2 linked regions of the Astyanax mexicanus genome follow. The protein of the gene in region 1 binds, or shares a complex with, the protein of each later gene. Links are inferred from orthologs where the notes say so. Each region holds a gene or a part of one and is shown on either strand. Other genes may lie near its edges.

Region 1 (11,873 bases):
CTACAAAGGCTTTGGAAATTGGTTGCTTTGATTTCAAACATTTTACATTAAGATCACACCTGCATATTCAGAAGATCAGAAGTTAATGTTAGTCTATTTACATGTCACGTGATTTCATATCCAGACAATTTGAGTATAAAATGTATGCTATCTACACTCAATTTGACATGAATGACAATGTTTTGATATGCATCAGCTTTGGTTTTCCCTTGTTACAAACAAGCTCTCATTCAGACACGGCTTCTCATGTTTAGCTGAGATGGTGCCAGAAACCACAAATATTTTGCTATATGTTAGACTTAATAATGAATAATTTAATAGCAACAGCTTATGTTTATATATATTTTTAAACATTTCCAAAAGGCTGCACACTACTGGAAACATTGCTTAACATTAATAATGCATATTAAAGGAGAAGTCCGGTGTGAAACGGACTTGGGTTGTAGTGAAACAGGATAACAAGTACAAACTTTACTTTGTACAGCATTCAGACATACAGTGCTTTGAACTGATGTTCCCAACAGACTATCCAATACTAGGGATAAGGGAATAGCGTTACCCATGAAAAAATATATATTTTCACACCATTAACAAGCTTAAAGTTACTTCAAACATTATTGGCAGAAATCCAAGAGCCCTGAGTCGACTTCTAAGCACAAACAAATAGGTAAGATAGGGGAACAGATTGCTAAATTAATTCTGAGGAAATGCATGAAGTCTAACTGTTGCTAAAAATATCTTTAGATTATTCATGCAATTCCACAGAGTTACTTCTGAAAACTGTCGCCTTCGTCAGTCGACATATGATGACTCAATGAAATGTTTCAATTAACTACCTTTGCGCTTTCAAACCTCTTTTTTTTGTCAGGGCCCTTAGAATTCTGTCAATGAAGTGTGAAGCTACCTTGAGCTGGTTAATGATGTAAAAATAGCCATTTCTTTGCATGGGCAATGCTTTGCCCCTATTGCTAACATTGTAAGCCTGTTGGGAGCATCGGCTAGAAGCGCTCTATTTTTGGAATGCTGGCAGGGAACAAAAGTGGGCTATTCGTCAAAAGTTTGTAGTCATTATCATTATATATATTATATATTTCACTGCACCTCAAGTCCATTACACACCAGAGTTTTCCTTAAATAGAGTAAAATTAATTATGCTGCACATATATAATCTGCCTCTGGTAATTGGGAATGCCTATGGGAAATGGGAAGTGTGGGAAATTTCAACACTGCACGGCCTGTGACGTGACTATCATGAATGTGCATGATGACCCAATATACCCAATATACAACAATACATTTCCAATATTTTAAGTTTACATTATTTGCAGCATCTGTCACGGACTGACATTCGTTACAGGAAGCACTACATGAACTGGCTAAATCATTGGGTTTGTAGGTAGAGGTATTTGTTGTGGCCATTCTAGGCAGTTTTTCCTTTGGTTTTTAAATTATTTACATCAATATCAGAACTAAAGTGTGTCAACAGGAGTTAGAACTATATTGTGATCTAAATTTTGGCCACACTGTCCAGCACTAATGTAAAAAGAATGAAAAGAAACCAGCTGAATTTTTTTGTAGTACATATGTCTTGAAAAGATTATATATTTAAACTGCATCCTGAAACACTCTTGAAACAGTGGTGAAATAGCAAACTGTCAGCAGTGCATCTTGATTGCATTTACATATAGCCTTTTTTTTATAGCTACTCAATCAGCCCAAGATGCATGGATTTGCTAAGCATAATTCATTTTGTCTGAAAAGGAAAACAACAGCAGACAAATAATGAAAAAAGATGCATTCATTAAAACAAAAGTTATGTAAACTGAAAAATGCAACAGTACCTTCTTCTGTTTAAGCTGGGATGTTAGTTGGCTGTGGAGAGCTCTGGGGTCTTCTTTACTCTTGACTTTTGAGGCAGGCTGGAAGCCAGCGTAGGATGTGAGGGTTTTCTGAACCTGTCTAGTTGGGGTTAGGGAGGCCTGTACAGGACCTGGCTGCACAGACACCAGCTGAACATCATTATCCTCATCACTAAACTCTCCAAAAGGAGAGTTAATAGAGCTCTTGCTCTTCTGAGTTTTCTCCTGACTCGGGTTAGATTCTGTAGCTTGGGTACCATTTGGAACTTCTAATGTAGAGTTTGGGTTGTCTGCTTTGGCAGGTTGTGGACTAGGCGTCTTTTTAGTGGAAGTTAGTAGCTGCGAGTCTACAGCTGATGTAACAGTTTCCTTAGAGGTGATGTTTTGCTTTACACAGTGTACGGCAGATGTTTTATGACGAATACCCTCAGCTTTTTGAGGAGGGGTTTGTTGGGAGACTTCTGACTGAACTGTTTGAACAGTGTCTGGGGCTGCTTCGACCCTTTCCTCTTTATTGTGGACCCCTTGGGCATATGATTTCAAGTTTTTCTCCATTTGTTGCTGCTTTATACTTTCAAACTTTTGGTTAGCGTTTGAAGCCTCAGTGTCCTTTGCTCCAGTAGCAGCCACTTCACCACTGCCACTGTTCTTCCTCTCCTCATCAGATGTTCGCTTTTTTATTTTCATTCCTGCAGGAAGTTGCTTATTTCTCCAAGACTCTTCAGGCTCTTGCTCTGCACAACTGGTGACTTCTCTATTTGAGACAGCTGTACTTTTAGAACCTCTCATGTTTTCTTGTGGCACTTCTCCTTTCACTGCTTTTCCTTCTTGAAGTTTTCTCCACTCTGAAGTTTGGTCTACTTTGCTAGGGGCTTTGAAGGGGTTTCTAACAGGAGGTAGACTTGAATGGTGATTCTTTTTGTCTGACAAGGGACTCCTTTCTGTATCTTTCTTTAAAAGAAGCAGAAAAAATATACCAAAGTTTTTTTTTTTTTTTTTTTACATTTCTTTGTTTGTGATTCTCTTGTTGTATTGGACAGTCAAGAATAAACACTCTACAACAACCAGCTGTAATAATGGATGGATTGAACTACATGGAGGACATTGGTTATTTTAAAAAGAAACTAACATCAGTAGGTAAGTTGCTTGGCTTACTGATGCTTCTTTTTCCATAACCAATAACCTCTCTGTAGTTAACTGCATCCATTACAGTTATACTAACTTAATTAAGCTTAAGCACAACTTAATAAGCAATAGTTACCTCTAACCATGGAATACTCCCACACCACTTCTGTCCCTCTTTCTTTCCTGTCACGCAGCGATACAATAACCTGATGGTTAAAAAATGATTTATCAAAATATTCGTTGCAAACCTTCCATCACAATATAAAAACACACAATTAAAAACACAACTTACTTGTAATTGTTCTGTTTTTCATTGTGAATTACAGCCTGAAGTTCGACCAATGCATCTTCATGGAGAAGGCAGTGAGAAGGTGGAACTCTTGACATTAGGAATAAACTCATATTAGCAAAGTACAGTATCTTCAAATAAACACCCAGTCTATAATACAAAGCCAAGGATACAAACCAATGACTTATGGCATTAAACATGTTCTTAAAAACATTCTGTCAAGTTGTGCTTTTTGTCTGTGCTGCACACACAAAAAAATTATGTGTTTTTCATGATAATAGTGTTCCTCTGATGCACCAAACAATTTGATCTTACTGTTATTATTTGCTTGAGATATACAAAATGATACAAATACACAGTGTTGTAGAAATGAAAATGAAAGGTGGGTCAATACCCACCTCTCGTCCGGGGTACAACTCCCCTGCGTGTTCGTTTGATAGAGAGAGTCAGACAGGTGGAGTGAAGTTGAAAGCAAACCAAGTATTTATTACAAAGTACTGGATCCAGGAGAACATACAAAACCAATTATTAGCTGTCTCAGTATAAGTTCTGACCCCCCTCTAATCTGACTCCATGTTTATACCCCAAATGACGTGAAACCTGCTGATGAGGCGTTGCTAAAATCATCTCATGTTAGCATGCGTAGTTTCACAGGTCTGACCGGACCACTAGTGTTTGGCCTTGACTGTATCCAGCCGGACAGTGTAGTATTGTTTCAAGAATTGACTGGGTCCAGTCAGACAGTGTGATATTGTTTCAGTAATCAGACAGTGCCGCCCTCCCTATGTGCGCGTGTCCTCCTCCCGCTTTGGTAGGTGAAGAACTTTGCACGCACAGAGAGAAAGGCCGCACTGTTCGTCCCGAAGTCTCCTTTGTATCAATTCAGTTCGTACAGAGTGCACTAGCTGATGATTGATGGCCGTTAGTCAGAAACATGCAGTGAATGAAATGCTTCAAGCATAAGCTACACACGTCACACAATGGATTCCATATATTATATGTTAATGTGTTAGTAGCGCGTGGTTAGTCCGCCATATAATAGGTCCTATGTGTTAGTAAACGTGTTATGTATCGTGTGGGTTAATTTGTCATAATAAAGTCTGTGTTAGACACATGCCTGATCAAACAATGTTTTACTATATATGTAAAGAATATATTGTGATTATTGGTTAATCTTCTATATAAATGCGTGTAAAATACACTGTGAGTAATAAAAATGATCAAATACAATGTGAGTATTGGCTATGCATATAGAATACAAGGTTCCACACAATGATTATGTAATTATAGATACTAAGATAAGTAATCATAATTGAAAGATATTTGTCAATACACTCAAGGTAAAATAAACAGTTACTCTTCAACAGTAATACAAAAGTGTACATAGCAAGACAACTTATATAAAGCATTTTAAAATATTTACAGTGTATTTACTTTAGAATAATGTAAATTACCATATAAACAGCTCTGGAAAATTTAAGAGACTACTTCAGTTTCTGAATCAGTTTCTCTGATTTTGCTATTTACAGGTTTATGTTTGAGTAAAATGAACATTGTTGTTTCATTTTATAAACTACAGATAGCAATTTCTCACAAATTCCATATAAAAATATGGTCATTTAGAACATATATTTGCAGAAAATGAGAAATGGCTGAAATAAGAAAATAGATGCAGAGCTTTCAGATAAGTCAGTACTCACTCGGCAGGCTGAGCGAAAGTGCAGGGTGTTTCGTCGCGGGCTGTACAAACGTAGAAACTCTTCCCTTTATTCGGCCCTTCCTTCACCCCGGTCTTCAACAAGCAGAACCCGCCTGAATTAAAAACACAGGGTTAAATAGGCTCAGCGGTTAAACCAGGCCTGCACAGTTCAGGCCTGCAGATGTTTCGGTTTGTTGGCTAGTTAATGTTAGCACTTTCAGAGCTAACGCTAAACTATACAGCAAAGCACTGGAGTGCGGCTACCGGCTAACTAACTAACTAACTACTTACCAGTTTATTCATAAAGTGAACTAACCCTAGTCACGTGCCGCTTACCGTGTTTATCACAGAGAACCCTCTGCATGGTGTAAAGTGGTGTAAACTGTAGCTCTGTGACGGAGCTAATGTAAGGAGCCCGCTCGCCGGTTAGTGTGTACTGCCTCCCCGTAACGTCCTGATGGCGTCACCTCCCCGCTCAGCCAACCGGGTCAGGAGACACCAGAGCTGCGCTTCCTCTCCTCACCACCAGGTGACACTCTTACCTCATACTGGAGACACTGGAAACCATCACACACCATCTGACCGAGTAAATTCATCATACACTATAAACACACTTCTACCTGCTTCACTGCTGGGTCCTCCATAAAGTCATTATTATGAAATACCAAGTCATTATTTTATATACAAAATCACTGTTTTGAGATATTAAATAATTATTTTTAAATGCTACATTTTTATTTTTATATACTAAGTCATTATTTTGAGATACCAAGTCATTATTTTGAGATACTCAGTCATTATTTTTAAATACTAAGTCATGATTTTGATATACTAAGTCCAAGTCATTTTTATGAAATACCAATCATTAATTTGGGATATTAAGTCATATTATGAGATACTATGTCTCTATTTTAATATACTTAGTTATTATTTTGAGATACCAAGTCATTATTTTGAGATACTAAGTCTCTATTTTAAAATATACTTAGTTATTATTTTGAGATACCAAATCATACCCCCAGACATAGTATCTCATAATTATAACTTACCGTATTGTATTTATGGCTTCTATCTCATAATTATAACTTACCATCTCGTAACTATGACTGTCTCCCTTATAATTATAACTTACCGTATTGTATTTTTGACTTTCTATCTAATAATTATAATTTACCATATTGTAAGTCTAACTTTCTATCTCATAATTACAACTAATAATCTCGTAATTATAACTTACTTTTTTCCAAGTGGCTGTAAATGCATTATGTCTTAAATTCAGACAGAATAATCAGACTTACATGAATGTTGGGCTGTACTGATTACATTCAATATCACAGTGTTATAGATACAGTACCAGTCAAAGTTTAGAAACACCTCTTCTTTCTTTTTATGATTTTTTCATTGTAAAATTTAATATTGAAGGCATAATAAAAAAAGAGTTCCTGGAGGTGCTGAAAAATAGTTGGCTGCTTTTTCTTCACGCTGTGAAGCTCCAGCTCATCCCAAAAGATTGTTTTCATGTCTTAAATATTCATCTAAAACATACAAAATAAAGTATTAAAAACATTGTACGGTATATCTCTAACTACAATAAAACTTGATTTAATAAAGTCATTGAGCACAATAGCAATATTACTAATATTACTATGTCCTTCATAGAAAGAAAAATGACTATGTATTTATTTTTAAACAATCTGAAGTAGCCAGTAAATTACATTTACATTTACATTTACATTTAGGGTATTTAGCAGACACCCTTATCCAGAGCGACTTACAACAGTGCTTCAATGTTACTTCAAATATCCAAAGCTAGTTTGTAGACTAGGATCAAGAGATACGCAGATCTTGATCATGTTTAGAACCCTAGGAACCTTTTTTTATTTTTTATTAGTTTAGGAAAGATGTGTCTTCAGTCGACGTTTGAAGACCGCAAAATTACATATTGGACATTGTGTTTAACTGTCAGTTCAAGGATATCCACAAAATAGAATTAACCAAGTTAGAAAACAAACCAGTTGGGTACACCATTTATTTTACCCTACTGTATTGTTTATTATATGTTTTAAGAGAGTAAGAAAGTGCTAATTTGCAAAACACATGTAAAGCCAGTGCTGTGCATAGAACAGATGGGAGAATATACTTTATACTCTATATTTGGGTCCATAATTATTTGGAATGTGTCATATGTTGAAATTGGGAACACATGAACACATGCTAATGGTTTAGACTGATATTATTCATCACTCCTTTGCAGCAGTTGATTGGCTTTAAATCAACACCTAAGATGCATGTCTGTGCTTTTGCATGTGACTGAACAAATTTTGAATAACATTTTAGTAGTATAGTTTTTAAACCCAGATAGCATACCCATGTGAAGGGCCCAATCAGGACCAGAAGTGGTTAAACATGGGTCTCATCTGGGTTATACACTGCACATGAGGCCTTGATGGGACCCATGTGAGAATAAGATGGCTGTAATGATGAGGCCCATTTATGAGGCCCAGCTGGGTTTAGCATCACAGGTGCAAACCCATTTAGAACCCATGCCCACCTGAAACCCACCTAGCCCCATGTTTCACTCATGTGAGCCCCATACGAAAATGTTGGCTGGGAAGTTATATTTAGTGAACAGGAATAATGCTAACTTACAGAGGACAGACTGGCTTGCAGTGATGGTGATGAAACAGTTGAGAAACAGTCGTGTTGTGGCCAGAAGGCCGCACACTCTTTTGCCCCCCTGCCTTACAGAGCTCTCGCCACACACACACACACACACACACACCCCAGATACAGTACACAGCCTTGGGGCCTGATGAGTGGAGCACACATCAGTGCACAGTGCAGTTTGAAACATCTACTGTGCCTCAATGAAGAGCAGGTTGTGTTTGGTTGATTTCCTGCCACTGATTCAGACTATGTTACACACTTTGGTCACGCACATGTAGCCCTCAGGTCAGGCCTCTGAACTGTTGTAAGATGCTTCTAAGTTAAAGTAGGACAGCAAGAACCCCCTGCTGTCACATCAGCATAAATATCACCTGAGGCTTGACAGTGTAGATGAGGTAATGTACGCTTATCAATACTTTGATATGCCTTTTTTTGTGCTGAGACAGACGTTTATCTGAGTCATAATCCTGTTATGGAAAGTGCCATTCGCTTACAGCACTTTTCTCCCCCTTTTACACACTGGCCTCAGATATTTCAATCAGGGTTTCCCCTGAGGTGCCACAGCGCACTGAGGGAGGGCTGAGGAGGAAAACACACTGCAGGGAAGTGTGAGTTCTAACTCTGAAGCACTATATGACTGACTAAACTAATCCTAGCTAGGGAAAAGAAGACATGGCCCAGGATATCAGTATTGAGATGTTATTTACTGCTATGCTATTCCATGAGGTAGACTGGACTGGGGTTTGATTCCCCCACAGGCAAATGTATTTTACCACACTGCACAAAAAAACCTTGGAAAAAATTCCAAATACTGCATTTTTCTGTTTCTGTAACATTAAACCCGATCTCTCTCTCTTTCTTTATGACTGTCTGCTAAGTTATGAAAAAGGTAAATAACAAATATAATGCCAATATAATGCGTAGCAGTGGACAGCATGAACAAATCCAGGATTTGAGTGAACATACAGACTTTTTGTAAAACAGTCTATATCTATATGTCTACATAAGAATTAGTGTAAATTAAATTACAAGAAAACATGTATCCAAAGTAAAGCTATGTCTAGATATTATAGTTACTGTTTCATTTTTAAAAGCTTAAGGCTAACTCTACATGTGTCCAAAGGTTTGTGGACATCCCCTCACAGTCAATACATTCAGCTACTTTAAATTGTATTGCTAATAGAATAGGCCCTTTTGGAGCATATAAATATGAATTTACTGGCCCCATGTGTAAAGTTTAGGCATTATTTCTGCTTATGTATTGAACTGTGAAACAGTGGAACTATGTTCTCTGCAATGATGGTGCTTCACCCAGTATTTTGGAATGAGGTGCCCACATCTTCAAAGTTTATGTCACTTAATGCAATTAGTTACTCACAGCAATGCTAGTCTAATTGAAAGACTTAGAGAGAGATACAGTAAAGAGTTACTCTAACTAAAGCAGATTTAACTCTTTTCTTAATCCTCCTGAAGAAACAGTGAATAAGCAGGAGACCTAAAACTGTTCTCCAGTTTGTGAGTGTTACTGCTGTTGGGTTTATGTGTGAAGGAGTGTAAGGACTGTACGGTGGGCTTCGCCAACAAAAAAGAGACAAACGTGTCCGAGGTAAGAGCAGAATCCCTAGTGTTTTTTTGTTTTTTTTAGTTCACAGTACACAGAAAAATATAAAGAAAAACTGTACAAAAATTAAAAGAAAAACTATACTTAAAAGATAAGAAAGTAAAGAAAGTCTATACTTTTCTATATGCAGTTTTTCTTTGTAATAAATAAAAAGCATAGATTAACTAGCTGTTCTAGTACCAAAACCACTTGTTGTTTTGTAAGGTTAATGAAAAATGAAAGACTGGTTTAAGCTGACAGAAATATTACAGTAATTTAAATAAACAGAAAAGCTTTTAAGAACACACAAAATGTCTAACTTTGGCTACAAATAACAAAGGCCACATGCAGTTTTAATAAATAGAAGCATAGGTTAACTAGCTGTTTTAGTACCAAAACCGTTTGTCGTTTTGTGAGGTTAATGAAAAAGGATAGACTTAAGATTAGATAAGCTGACAGTAATGGTACAGTAATTTAAATAAACAAAAGAGCATTTAGGAACACACAAAATGTCTAACTTTGGCTACAAAAAACAAAGGCCACATGCAGTTGTACCTAGTGTGCCTAATAAAGTGTAAATACATGTTGTTAGTGTCTACCACTGCTTACCATCAAAATAAAAATACACAGTGTCTAACACCGCCACCTGACCACACTTATATTGTGCTTTTCTGTAATGTATTCTCCACTTGATTACTTCTGCCCAGCAAATACAGCAGATATCTTGACACTGAGCTCATCACCATAATCGGCAATTGCAAAAGCCGCAACATTGTCATCCGTCAGCAGGATTAAGCTTGTGTTTCTTTTTGCTTAGGGCTTTTTCTTCTATTTAAGGGCCTTTTCTCATTAGAGGCTAAAACATTTGTGTGTGTGTGTGTGTATGTGTATAGTGTGCCTTTCTCTTTTTGCAGTCCCAGAGCACTGTAAAAAACCTACAAAACAGTCAGTAGGGAGGAGGGAGATATATATTTCTCTCCTTTCCAACAAATCTGATACAAGAAAACAAATTGAAAGGTCATCTTCTCGCAAGCCTAGGAAGGATCTGTGTCTTATGTCTCTCCTGAGCCCTCAAGAGTGCATTTTGTGTCAAAAATTGATTTGTTTGTAGCAACATGCCGAGTTTAACAAGCCTGAGCTCACCTTATGAATATCAATGAGATGTGCTATTGTAAAAATTCAGGCCTATTCTTACTCTTGGTTTCTGGACAGTTTACACATAATGATGATATGTTAAAGGTCTATTGACTCAGAAAGCATAAAATAAATAATGCCTGAGGAACGGATCAGCCTTGCAAAAATAACAAATAATAATGTAGTGGAAGAAAGGGAAAAATAATTAAAAGGGATGCAGGAAAGCAGTATCTACAAAGAGAAGGAAAAGAACTGAAACTGTATGTATTACACCATGCTTACACCTTGTCTATGTCTGTCTCTGTTCATGTCTTTTTAATTTAAGCAGCTACTTCCTAAGATGTGTATGTGTTTGCATATAACACTAGTGGTTTGTGTAAATTAGTAACATATGTAAGTGTGTAACGATACCTCATAACAAAGTACCTTTAAAATACCTTTAAACCTACATAGAAGTCATCAGCAGCTTGGATGATTATAGATTATAGACGTGACTGACATTCATGCACATTATCACAAACCCAATATGCAACACACGTACACTGAAGCAGACACAATGATTACCTTGACCACTTCTACGTATTATAGAGTACATGTGTGAACTAGCTCTCAATAAACAGCTTCTGATTGCCCATTTAGAAAACACTTGCGGAAAGCAATTTACTATTGTCAGACAGGGCAGAGGGGGAGAGCGTGGGAGCTTAAAGAGGCACTATGTTAATTTTTTTTTTTAATCCAAAAACAAACCTTGCAAACATCCTAAAATATGGTGTCCTTGTGCAGCATCTTTCAAATAAACTGTTGACACATAATGATGTCAAATTCAGATCAGATATTACACTATATATGTATCAAAGCTGCATTATCAAACATGCATCTAATGCCAATCATGTACTAGAACACTTAAAAAGCCTGTGGCCTGATACTCTCTCACGTCTACAGACAATTTGTCATTACATTTCCTTTTCAGATTCTTTCTTTTCATACTGCTCCTGGTTGTTATTTACAAGAACAAGGGACAATGAACAATGAAATAAAAAATAAAAAAAACACAGAAAAATAAAAAGCCGGAGGTGAATATTGATTTACCCCTTAATAAATGAACTGGGCTGCCTTGCTGCTTTAGGTTGGGTGCTTATTGTTTATTCACAATGTTCATGTCACAATGTGAAAGAGTCAATAGTTAAAATTTCATTAAATATTGCTGATTTTATCAGGACAAGAAAATGACTTTTTTTTTTTACAGCAAACGATTAAAATGACAGGAACCAGGACTTTTTATCCTGACATAAAAATTGATTTGAGTTAAATGTACTGTTGAGATTTTGAACAGCACTATGGCACACTATATGGTGCACTATTTCTGTAATAGTAAGCAATACTGAACACAGCTCAAGAAAAATTGGATAATTTTATCGAAATATTACTTTTGTTATAAATTCATCAAGATTTGTTTATTTTATAGGTCCCTTTATTTATAGCAATATAGCATATCAATAC
Region 2 (12,511 bases), about 26 Mb from region 1:
GGGCTGGGGCGGTATTGATTTTTTATAACCGCGGTAAAAAACGCATCACCGCGATATTGCGGTTAACCGCGAGACCCCCCCCCCCCCCCCCAAAAAAAAACCCCACAAATTTATTGGTAACAAATCTTTATTCTTCAAACCATACAGCCTACATACAACCTCTACATAAACCATAAATACAGCATAACAAGTGAACATATGCTGCCTGTATAATTCGTCATTGTACAGCTAACCTGTCTTTTTCCGTGCAGACTTTTTGAAGGAGGAGCTTGTCCGCCTCCCCCTTCTCCATCCATAGATCTATTTTAGGGCTGGCCCAATAGCGGTTTTGAGCTCAGGATATTCGGCAGTAATTGTTAGCGAATATTCTAATATTCGTTTAAAAAAAAAAAGACGAATTAATCCACAGCAAAATTTTCCACTGACCCCCGGCCCCGAAAAAAATATATTTCTCACCCCTTTCCTCGGGCCGTTCGGGCTCAAGGCTCAAGAAGTCTGTGATAGGCGTCTGTTTTTTTTTTATTCACACTCTTCTTATTTCTCATTAAATATCTACTAGATACAGATTATATCTGTACAGTATCATTTATTTCACTTCCCTCCTGAATATTTGGAGTGCATTATGTCTCCTTATGTTGTGTAGTTATGTAGTTTTCACCCCAGAATTTCTGCTGCCTCACACCAGGCTTCGGCTGCATCGCAGGGCAGGAGCGCAGCTGCGTTACGGCTATTTCGTTTGAATTGTGCAGTGCAGAGTATTACAGATTTTGTATTTTTGCACTTGGGCTATTAGCTCAATATTAAATATTTCGTTTGTTTATAAATTATTTTATATTCTTAAACCATGTTAAATTATATTCGATTGGAGGAAATTAATTCAGACATCATTTCTTTTTTGTCCCGTTACCGTTCCGCAAAAAAAATCCTTCTTTTAATCCCGCATCAGCCCGCCACATACACAGTTTTGCCGCACCTGCCCCGCGGTCCTAAATAAATTTAATAAATTACATTTAGTGCTTAAAATTAAAAAAACATATTTATTAAAACCGCGCTGAATAGTGCGGTCACGTTTCTTACCACATTACAAAAAAAAATCGGTGTGTGTGTGCGCGTGTCGGTCCATTCTCCGCTCCTTTTTTGTGCTTAGGGTTTTTTTGTTGCGTGCATGAGAATCACTGCGTGATTATTACAATTTTCTTAACTATTTATTAATGTGCTCCCACATCCTCTGGATTGATTAAACTCCTGTTCCCGCCAATAACAATTCAGTTCTGTCTGTGCCGCAAGATATCCTGACGGGACCCGCGTCATATAATATGTTGATTAAAATGTCGTGACATTAAGAAATCGGCTCGCAAGAGACAACCGACCAAAAAAAAGACATTAGTTCCATTTTAAAATAATAGAAACCTGTCCTTTATGTTTGACAATTTTTGTTTCACTTTACTTGTCCTTACTCATCTGAAGTTTATTTATCTGAACTGAGTTTCATATGGTTATATTTGTAGCGGTTCTGAACTCAGTTCCGCGTGCTGTGAAAGAGACAAGGCGCAGCGCATTTTACCTCAGACTTGGTCAGATAACAACATTTCAGTAAAGATGGTGGTTATAGTTTTATATCATTGCTTTGCTGTTTGAACTACACTTCAACCAACCTTACTATTTTTACCAAGACTGAGGCGCAATGCCGCGCGTTCTCCGCGGTGCTCACGCAGAACAGCCAGCAGCCAGACAATGAATTAATATATTTTACTTTCTCAAAATGTGACCACGGAACACCTTACATGGCTCTATGGTTTACCTTGAGGTGGGTGAATTAGTTTGATGTGTTGGCGAGAGGTGCAGACACCACTTTCCGGCAAATCTTGCAGATGATTCTATTCTGTTCTGAGTCTTTTTCTTCCTTTTTTCTCAACTTACTGAGCCTGCCCTGTAGCTTCCATTTCCGAGCCAATATTAGTGCTGCTAATCTTCACTCTCTTCAGCAGCCTCAATGGAGACGAAGTGAGCAGGAGACTCCAGAGCTGTTCTGACCTCAATGAGTACCACGCACCGCGTTTTGCTTAACCCATTCGCTGCCGCGCCAGTGCAGCGGCAGCACAGATAAATGACAAAAAAATTTATATTCGATATTATGAATTTTGAGATCGTTTGACACCAATATCTATCGCGATCAAAATATATTTGATATATTGCACAGCCCTATAGTGTAGGACTTACACTTGACATATTAATACTGAATTCACCACAGTTGTGCTTATATGGAGCATTTTACTACCGCTCAAAACGCAGTCAATCAGATTTGACAGCCATAAAAAATGCGGTAATGACGGTAATGAGCTCATCACCGCGGTGACGTCCCATAACCGCGGTATTGCGGTAATAAAATTATCGTCACAGCCCTAGCTGCAGGTAACTGACCTTAATGTTGCAGGCCACAGCTTTCCCATCGTCTCCTTTATACATCAGCTTCATCCCTCTCAGAGTGTCCATGGCTTTGACGAAGCCGGTGTGGTCCTCGTACTGGATGTACCCTTCGAAGTTCAGATGGCCGCCAAACGAGAAGGTGTTGAAGTTCTTTCCGGTCATTTCCTCTCTGTAGGGATCCAGCATGGGGATATCTACGTTACGGATTTTACCGAAGTTCTCAAACACGATTTTAAGAACAGCTTCTGAAGGCCGGTCTGAAGAACTGTCCTTCAGGGCGAACCACTTGCACGGGAGTCCCTCCAGATGGATGGTGTCCGGACGCTCCCCGGGGACGGTCTCGTTCATGTCTTTGGCGTCTCTGAAGAAGGAGTCCCAGTCGTGGCGGGTGGGGAAGTCCACCTTGTTCTCCGCCGCTCGGACCTTCAGGATGTCGGTGAAGCCGCTCAGCTTGATGCTCTTTCCGTCCAGCTTCGCCACGAAACTCTTAACGATTCCCCGATTCTCCACCTCGCCCTCGAAGCGGATGAAGTCCATGGTGCTTTTGGAGATTCTCAGCGAGGAGAAGAGCTCCGGGTGAACCATGTTCTTCAGCCTCTCCATCACCTCCCAGTTGGAGATGGACTTGCCAGGCATCTTGAGCTGAGGCAGGGCCACGCTGATGGTCATCTTGGCGATGGGCTTCAGGTAGAGGTGGTACTCCTGACACAGATGCACAGCTTCCGTGGTGTCATGGATGATGGTGGTCATTTTGGAAGCAGCTGGAAGGTGAAGCAGAGGGAGTATGAATGAGGTGAATGGTGAAAATGACTAAAGACAGAAAAAGAAGTTGAAAGTATCTTCTTTTTGTTAATGTTTTATTTGTAATACATATATATTAATATATTTACACATTTTGGAGGGTTTAAAGGAATACTTAGCTAATACGAATCTTTGTTGGTTTACAGCAGGAGATGCTAGGCTAACACTGCTAACAAACCCTTTCTTTAGGATACCAAACATGCATTCATTGGTTGATGAACTGAATCTGGAGTTAATATCTCCAAAAGTTAACGCCTACATTACTTATCGAGTCTCTTCTCAGAGCTACATATTCCTTGTATTCCTGTTTTCTGTATTTCTTTCTTCTGGTAACATATTTTGTTTTGTGGATTGCTGCAGCTTTTAAAGTGTCTTATGGAAGTTGCTGTCACTATGATCCACAAAATCTCTCAACATTTTGATTGCACATTTAATTTTTTTTTGTGACTGATGAAATCATTTTGTGGCCCCTTACTGGAGCACAGGGATGTAAAGGTTCTCTATGGAGTGAATTTTGTGCCAAACGTTTTACGCAAAAAAATAAAATCCGCAATCAAAATCTTAAGAATCAAAAGAAAAAAGTGTATGGGGCAAAATCAAAAGAGAAAAATATATATACATTTACATATACATTATTTATTTATACATATACATATACATTTTTTTGTATTATTAGTATTATTGTCATTTTAAGGTTTATAAGTTTTATTTTATATTATATTGTTTTCTATTACATCTTATTTGAATGTTCCTTTTTATCTTTAATTTTACAGTTTTTTTCTCTCCATTTTTCCTTTTTTAATAGTGTTTTGATTGCCTTTTTCTATGTACAGCACTTTGAGCTGCATTTTAATGTATGAAAGGTGCTATATAAATAAAGCTTATTATTATTATTATTATTATTATTATTATATACATTTATAAAAAATACTTGGATACTTTATTATTCTTTCCAGACATTTGAATTTTGCCCGTCTCTGCTTAATTTTTGTAAAACCAGTAAAAACTGAGCCAAAACTCAGAAGCAAAAAAATGAAGCAGAATCAAACAAGAGATTCCACAAGCAAAAGTCTTTGACAGAAAAATCCACAAAATTCCACAAAAACACAGAGGAAAAAAAGGAAAAACGGAAAAATCCAAACTAATATTCTTATCAAAATAACTGCCAATAATAATAATAAAGTAAACCAAGTACATTTAAAAATATATATACTTGCTTATATACTTAATATACTTTTTGCAAACACTTTTGGCACAAAATTCACTTCATAGTTCTCCAATTCATTCACTGATAGAACTATGAATGGAAACATAAATCTGAACCCTTTAGATTTAGGTTACCTAGTTGAAAGCTTCTAAAAGCTTTAACACAGAAAATAATCACAGTAAATGGTGATAAATAAACTGGGAGATATCTGAAGCACTATTTTACCGGAGTTCTGAGAGGAATTTGGGGTCAAAACCGGTAACAGAGGAGGAGAAACAGCAGCCCGGTTGTTATTAACCTCTTACTCATGTAGCTAACAGATAGCTTAGCTTATGTAGCTACAGGTTAGATAGTAAATGAACCTTAGCGCTGTTTTACTAAAAAACACGTTTTTAATGAGATTTCTGAGCTTAAATGTGAAATATTTTATCAGATAAACACACAAACCTTAATCACAGATCCTGAATCTTCTCTGATAGAGTAAACAGAGAATCACTATTTACTGAATCCAGCTGCTGATTATCCTTTACTGATGCAATTACTAAACCATCAGAAACATTATTAACCAATAACCTACCGGAGACACCGCGCTGTCTGTCTCTCTGTCTCTCTCTCTCTGTCTGTCTGTCTCTCTGTTTTATTTTCTGTATTTTTACATCTTCAGGCCTGAAAGCGTCCCTCACACAGAGCCGCACAGTGAATCCAGCAGCAACCGACTACCGCCCGGCGCTCTGCTCACACACATTTCAAAATAAAAGCTCTATAACAATTAAATATCTATATTAATTATCTATACCGTCTGACATTTGTTTATACCAAAGACTGAAGTTGAAAAGAAAAAAAAATATTTTGCCATTAAAAATTGTATATTGTAAATATTTGTAAAAAAGAAAATGATAATAATAATATATTACATCTGGTAAGTAGTACTGTAAATAAACTGAGCTTTGAAAATTTATTTTAAACAATGTAAATTTACAAACCCTTATTCTGTAGTAAAGCAGTGCTGGTACAGATGGTGTTACTGCACTCTCTACTGCAGCCTTTACACACTTACACACAGCACTATTACTATTAAATTATTTTCTTATTGTTTATTAAACTGCTTTCTCATTATTTTAAAATAATAAGTCCTTAGATTAAGATATTAAGTCATTATTTTGCTATAGTTATTCCTTATTTTGATATAGTAAGTCCTTAATTTAAGATACTATCTCATTATTTTAAGATTCCAAGCCATATTCTTAGATAGTAAGTACTTATTTTGACTTACTATCTCAAAAATAATGAGATGAATTTCCTTAATAATAAAAAAAGAATGTGCTGTATTTTTTTTAGGTGACGGAAATGGGCTTCCATTACATTTACACTTTCATCATACTTAATGTTAATATAATAACAATAAACAGTGCTGAAAATAAATTAAATAAACATTGAATACAAAATGTACTACATTAATATAAATATACAAAAATACAATAATAAAAAATACCATGCTGTAAAATAAAAAAAACAGCCTGACGAACTAGATTCAGGGCACGTCCCATTAACTCAATACATAAAGGACTTTTATTATGGCAGGGGTCAGAAACGTTAAACGTGATAGCTTCTTTCACAAAGCCGAGCAGTAGCGCCATCAGGCGGTGTAGTGTTACAATACCTTCATTTATAATACATAACCTTTTCTTACTGCTATTATCCATCATAATAAAAATCATTATATATATATATATATACGATATTACATTTTTTTATTTCTATTTTGGTGCTTTTTTTAAAACACTAGAAAATTAATTACTACAAATGTACAGAATAATGTATAACTAAGCTGTAAACAGTATCTTATTCTATTGCACACTAACTAAAACAAATTCACACAAAAGGAGAAAATGTTCACTCTCAGTTTGTTTATATATTTGTTTTTTGTTTGTTTGTTTTTTTTAGTTTTTTGTAGTAATGAGCATTGATGTGTTTTATTTGTCTGAGGGCACAAGTGCATGTTGTGTTCTCTCTCTCTGTAATTAAACTCGAATAACACAAAAAAACACCATCATAACCATCATAATGGTGCATTAACTGCAGGCTGGCAGAAACTGGCACAGTTTCCTGGGGGATCTGTGCTGGAAATGATGTAACAGTGATGAGCTCACTGGTTTTATAGGTCACTGTTCACTCAATGTCCCACTAATGTTAACATAAAGCAAATTAAATAGTGTTAACAGATAAATAGATAAATAGAGATGTAGGACAGGACTGAAGAACACATACACTCAGCAGAAAATACAAAAATGAAGCTAAATCAGAGTTTAACATGTTTATTTTAGTACAGTTTGATTACAGATGAGCATGATGAGTATGGATTGGCATGGATTGGTGTTGCCATGTTGATTAAAATTGGAAAAATCATAACTGGCTTCACCCACCTTCTCCTTAACAATTCCTTCTTTTAAATATCTAAAAATATAGTTTTAATCATGTTTGAATCATGTTTTATTCTTATTTAATTTTGGTATCCATTTTATTTATATATATTTTTTTATTTGACTTCTCGGTGTATTTTCTAGTTTGTAAAGCACTTCAAATAACCGTTGTGTATAAAAGGTGCTATATAAATAAACTTTCCTTGCCTGACCATAAACAAAAGAAAAGTTTTTATATTATTATTGATATTCTCTAAAATAATTCTTTATGCAGTCATACACACTCCCCATATTTTACACTGAACTGTATGATTACACTGGGTCTCTGAACATTTGGTAGATCTGACTTTTTATTATTATTTATAAAATATTATATTTTATATATTATATATTTTTATTTGTATATATTGTACTGTTTATTTTATCTTTTCTTTTTTTACTGAGTGCCTTGCTATCCCTTTGCTGTTGTAATACTATGAATTTCCCCACTGTGGGACTAATAAAGGAATATCTTATCTTATCTTATCTAAATTAACATTTTAAGTTAAGTTAAGTCTTCCTCTTAGAAGAAAAACTAAACACTATGAATTAAAACAGATGTTTAGAGTTTCATCTTCTCAGACTCTCAGTTATCAGATGTGTGGAGGAGGATCAGGTAACTTCAGTCTAATAAATAATGAACACACTCCAGATGGCTGACTATTATCTACTCTGAGAAACGATCAATAATGAAATAATGATTCACTGATAAATTGATGAGAATAAAAAACACTGTTAAAGTGTGAAACTGAAGTTGTTCTTAAATAAAATTGTAGAAACAATTTCTATTCTATTTACTGAATTTATCACATAGAAAAAATAAGAAATTAATGAGTATATGTACATTTAATGTGCCAGCACTTTAGTATGTTTTAATATGTTTTAGTGTGTTAAAATTAATTGTGTAGCAAAATGAGAATGTAATGTATTTACACTTTATTTAACACAAAATCATCACATATTATTAGATTTGCTCATATAATTTCATTTCATATTACAGTATAATTTATTTATTATAATATAATTCCTATATACATTATTATAAGTTGATTCTTGCTGTGACTATTTTATATAAATACATTTATATGTAACAATAGTATAGTATAGTATAGTATAGTATAGTATAGTATAATACTTGTTTTAAGTAATGATATCAGTTGAATCCTCACCCACCCGTGAAAACTGTGCCAAAACTCAGAAGCAAAAAAAAATGTAATTCCAGGAGCAAAAGTCTTTATCCGCAAAAAATCCACAGCAAATTTAATTCTCTTTTGAATTTGCATCATATACTTTTTCCTTTTAATTCTTAAAAAAAAAAATGATAGCGGATTTTATTTTGTTTGCATAAATTTCTGGCAAAAAAATGTACTCTTTACAAATCATTGTAATATTACAGTCACATTATTCTATATGTTTTTTACAGAAATCTGAAAATAAGAAGATTAAATGATTATATGTGCAGTAATCTCATTTATTGTAGTACAGAATAAGCAGCACAAACACTGAGGAGGTGAAGTCTGAGTCTGATCCAGTTTCTCTTTTACAGGAGGATTAAATTCTGATCACATTCACAAAAGTAATGTTCCAAATAATCAACAAGATTCAGATTATAAAAATATATAAAAAGTGCATTACAAATAAGCATGTACAACATATTAAACATATTAACATATTAAAAGCAGGTGTGTAACAGTCATGATTGTGTTTCACATTTATGCATAAACGCACATCTAAAGCCACCAGTACCATTTTACACTTTACAATAAATGTTACATTAATTACAGTCCTTATAACAGAACATCTCAACTAATGATTAACTAACATTTAAATATAATTTACATACATTTTTCTTAAGTATTAACATTTTTGTAATGTCAAGTAATTTTTAATAATGCCTTAAGTAGTTTCAATTAAGAATTTGTTGAGATATTAATTTTAAACATTTAATTAGGCCTGTCACACAAAATATATATTTGTGTCTATATATTGTCCCATAAATAATTGCAATAAAGGACAATTTTATGCCACTGATATAACAATAATTGCATAGCATAAAATTACAATTACATGAATTGTAACAGTAATTAACTTTTTTAAAAGAAAATTTAGACATTCAGACTGACATGAAATATATATTTTAAAATATATAAAAAAAAACAATCATAAATAAAATGAAAGCACAGTTTGTGAAGTAAACATTTTGGCTATTCACATTAATGTGATTATTTTTTTTTGCTAAAAAAAGCATAATATAATGTGATATTAATATATATATATATATATATATATATATATATATATATATATATATATATATATATATATATTACTTTAGGAAGTGCTGTTAATTGATGTATCCTTATTGTAAAGTGTTTTTAAGCATCAGAACAGCAACATTAATCCAGTTAAGGACCGGAAGACGGAGGAGCAGTAAAGGCACACTGTTCACCATCAGAACACCCAAAACAGAACCGTGCAAAAACTACACCAGGTTTACAGCAGGCAGCGTGCATATTTTATATTTCACAACTTTATAGCATGAATGTGCTTCAGAAATTCACTAGCTAGCATCCCAGGTTAAAGGGAAATTCCACTGATTCACCTACATTCTTAATTCATGTTAAAAAGAGATAAAAAGAGCAGGATTTGGTGATTGTGATTGATTGTAGAGAAATATACTGACTCAGATTTCTTTACTTGTGGTGAATAAATGCAAGCATCCTTCTTCTATACCTACAACAGAAATATAGACATTTTTAATATGGAATGTTGAGAATAATTTAAATCCATTCACCACCATTCTCATTATTTTTTCCCAATTGTCAGAGAATTTTAACACTAAACCCACTCTGAAATAAAATACCTGTACTTCATCTACATCTTAACCATGTATTTAAACTGTGTATTTAAAATTCTACCTTAAAATATAGCAAAGTGTCAAATGCATTGGTCCAGTAGTGCTAATCCCTATTGGTCACATTTTCACAACATAGATTAAAGCTTTACTAATTTGTTTTTTAATTCGTTCTTGTTAAAGAGCCTAAGTGCTTGGATATCCAGGCATATCTGAGTGTTTAAGCCCATTAGCGAAACGGGGAGCTTAGTGCCGCGTGAATGCTTCAGGGGGTGAAACAATGCTACACTGTCCGACAGCACCTAAGAGGTAAAATTGGGACAGTTTCAGGAAAGGTCCTCGTTCAGAGACGTTCCTCTATTATCCAAAGAGGTTAGATACGGGTCTGGACTTGACCGGACTCTTCAGGGACCGGTTGCCCTCTTCTGTCTCTCTGAATGAGGTGCTGTGAACTATCTGAGTCCTTATCTTGCCTCTATTTAGCTTGATCCTGCCAATGGAAGCCTTGCGATACAGCGATTTTGGCTTGGCCTGGCCGTCAGACGCAGGTTCCTCCAGCGGGTTGAGAAGTCTCAATGGGTTAAGGTTGGACTGGAGAACTTTGGGAAGGCGCCACCATCCAGCACTGTACTCTACATTTTCAACACCCAAGTCAAAGTCCTTGCAAGCTCCTACAATATCCTGAATGTCCTTCGCCACCGAGGGATCGAGGTACTGGGAAGGCTTCTTCCCACTGTAGTCCCTCGCCTCAAGGTCCGCATTGTAGGCTCCAACCAGCAGCTTCATGACCTCTATGTGGTTGTGCATGGCTGCTAGGTGGAGAGGGGTGTACCCGGCACTGGAGCGGGCGTTCACGTTGACAGCGACAGAGTGCTGCTGGGCGAAGGTGACCAACATTGCGAGCAACTCGTGTTTTCCTTGCTTGGCAGCCCAATGCAGGCACGTGAAGCCGGTCACAAAGTCCTTCTTGGTGACAAGACTCGGCTCGCAATCCAGAAGACGCTGGAGACTGTCCCACTCCCCATCACTGGCACACATCATCCACTCATGCTCGAGAGGGTCTAGAGATACCAAAGCACAGTCCTCGTCCACAGAGGACAGAATAGAACCCGAATCCCCATCGCTCTTCAGAGATTCTCGTCTTCGGCTCATCATTTGACTTTGGGAGCTCCTGCGCAACAGGTTGCGCCTCACCTGTGGAGAACTGCTCATCATGATCTCCACAAAGCTCCTTCGGCTCCCTCTTGGTGTTCCTGTGCCAACTTCTGCGCCCAAACCTGAGGCACCTAGAGCGTCGACTTCGCTTACGCCATCGTCAAAGGAAGCAACCAGGCTTCGCTGCGACCCTCGAGAGGATCTGCGGCGGCTTGCCAGTTGAGCCGCAAGAGCTCCTTTACAATCCATGGATTCATGCTCCGCGTGATTGGCCAGTTTTCCAGAAGTGGAAGTAGGGCAGGTCGTGACCTCAGTTACATCATGCTCAGCTTCACATGCCTCTCTGGCATTCCCAGAACATTTTCCACAGTCCTTTCCTTTCTGTTCTTCCTGTGCCAAGTCAGAGCTGGTCACTTCAATCAGGGCAATGTCTGAAACACACAAGTCAGATACTGGTTCTGAGTCTGACACATCCATTCTTTTGTCTTCTTCTTCTTCTTTTTCTTTTTCATCATGAGCATCATCACCACCACCAGCATCATCAGCATCCCCACCCACAGCACTGAGCATCCTCTTATTCCCCTGACCATTAGTCTCCCGACCATGGCTGTCATCTTCATCTTCACACCTCAGATTATTATTCTCTGCATGACCCTCATCATGATCTGCATCCCTCATCCTCCTCTTCATCTCCCGGTACTTCTTCTTTAAGCACACCATCTTCTCTCCGTTCTCCTGCTTAACGTAGGCAATGTTATCCACAAACCGTTTGAAGGTCTCCCTGGCCACAGTCCTGTCCTTCCCTCCAGTGAGGAACTCTTTAAAATGCTCTGTCAGCTCCTTATTCCTCACACGCCCCCCTTTCTCCAGCAGGAACTCCAGCACAGACTCCTGGGTGCACTCCATCCTGCTGTTCTGAGATGTTTATAAACAGAGTAATGGATGCAGTTTGTGCTCCATCCCGTTTTTCCTCATCTAAAGTAGCGCAGCGGTTTAAACAGGAATAAATCAGGGGTAGAGATGCAGGCAGGGGTCGCAGTGTGTTCTGAGCTCAGGGTGGATGAAACTGGACTCCTGGATCCTCCCTGTTGGCTCCCAGCAACTCCGCTTTAACATCAGGCTGCGTCTCAATTTACTCCACCGCTCCCTACACACTTAAACACACTGCAACACGAGCAGCATGAAATAACAGGATCTGGGACTCAAAAAAAGGTAAAGTAATAATAATAATAATAATAATAATAATAATAATAATAATAATAATAATAATACATTTTATTTTTTACATGCGTTGCAAATTCATCTTAAAGTGCAAAAGACAGCAAAAAAACAAACAAAAATCCCAAACACAAAAAAGCAAACAATTAAAGCTAATTGAATGCTAAAATGTAAAGTGCACATGTAAGTAAGCAAAAATACACATTATAATGAAAATCAGGTAATAGAAAGATATATAAAAAACAAAACAATACAATAACAAACTTTAATTAGAACCAGTTAATAGAAAAATATGAAAAAAATAATAAATAAAACTTTAATAAAATGCAGATCAGTACCGGTGAATAGAAAGATATATTTAAAAAATAGAAAATGATAATCTTTAATAAG

The links.
Region 2: ttf2 (region 1) and akap17a share a complex: the UniProt entries of both Homo sapiens proteins name them as parts of the spliceosome. The link is inferred for Astyanax mexicanus from reciprocal best matches to the Homo sapiens genes TTF2 and AKAP17A.

The regions. Positions count from the first base shown.
Region 1 is NC_064418.1:26,407,050-26,418,922, forward strand, and holds the start of ttf2 (transcription termination factor 2), read right to left. Parts: upstream 5,438-11,873; 5' UTR 5,337-5,437; coding exon 5,309-5,336; intron 5,086-5,308; coding exon 4,974-5,085; intron 3,364-4,973; coding exon 3,277-3,363; intron 3,191-3,276; coding exon 3,121-3,190; intron 2,811-3,120; coding exon 1,842-2,810; intron 1-1,841. UniProt on the Homo sapiens protein: DsDNA-dependent ATPase which acts as a transcription termination factor by coupling ATP hydrolysis with removal of RNA polymerase II from the DNA template. May contribute to mitotic transcription repression. May also be involved in pre-mRNA splicing.
Region 2 is NC_064418.1:637,240-649,750, reverse strand, and holds the start of akap17a (A-kinase anchor protein 17A), read right to left. Parts: upstream 5,184-12,511; 5' UTR 5,013-5,183; intron 3,189-5,012; 5' UTR 3,178-3,188; coding exon 2,422-3,177; intron 1-2,421. Other genes in the region: sowahca (ankyrin repeat domain-containing protein SOWAHC), read right to left, coding at 10,109-11,809. UniProt on the Homo sapiens protein: Splice factor regulating alternative splice site selection for certain mRNA precursors. Mediates regulation of pre-mRNA splicing in a PKA-dependent manner.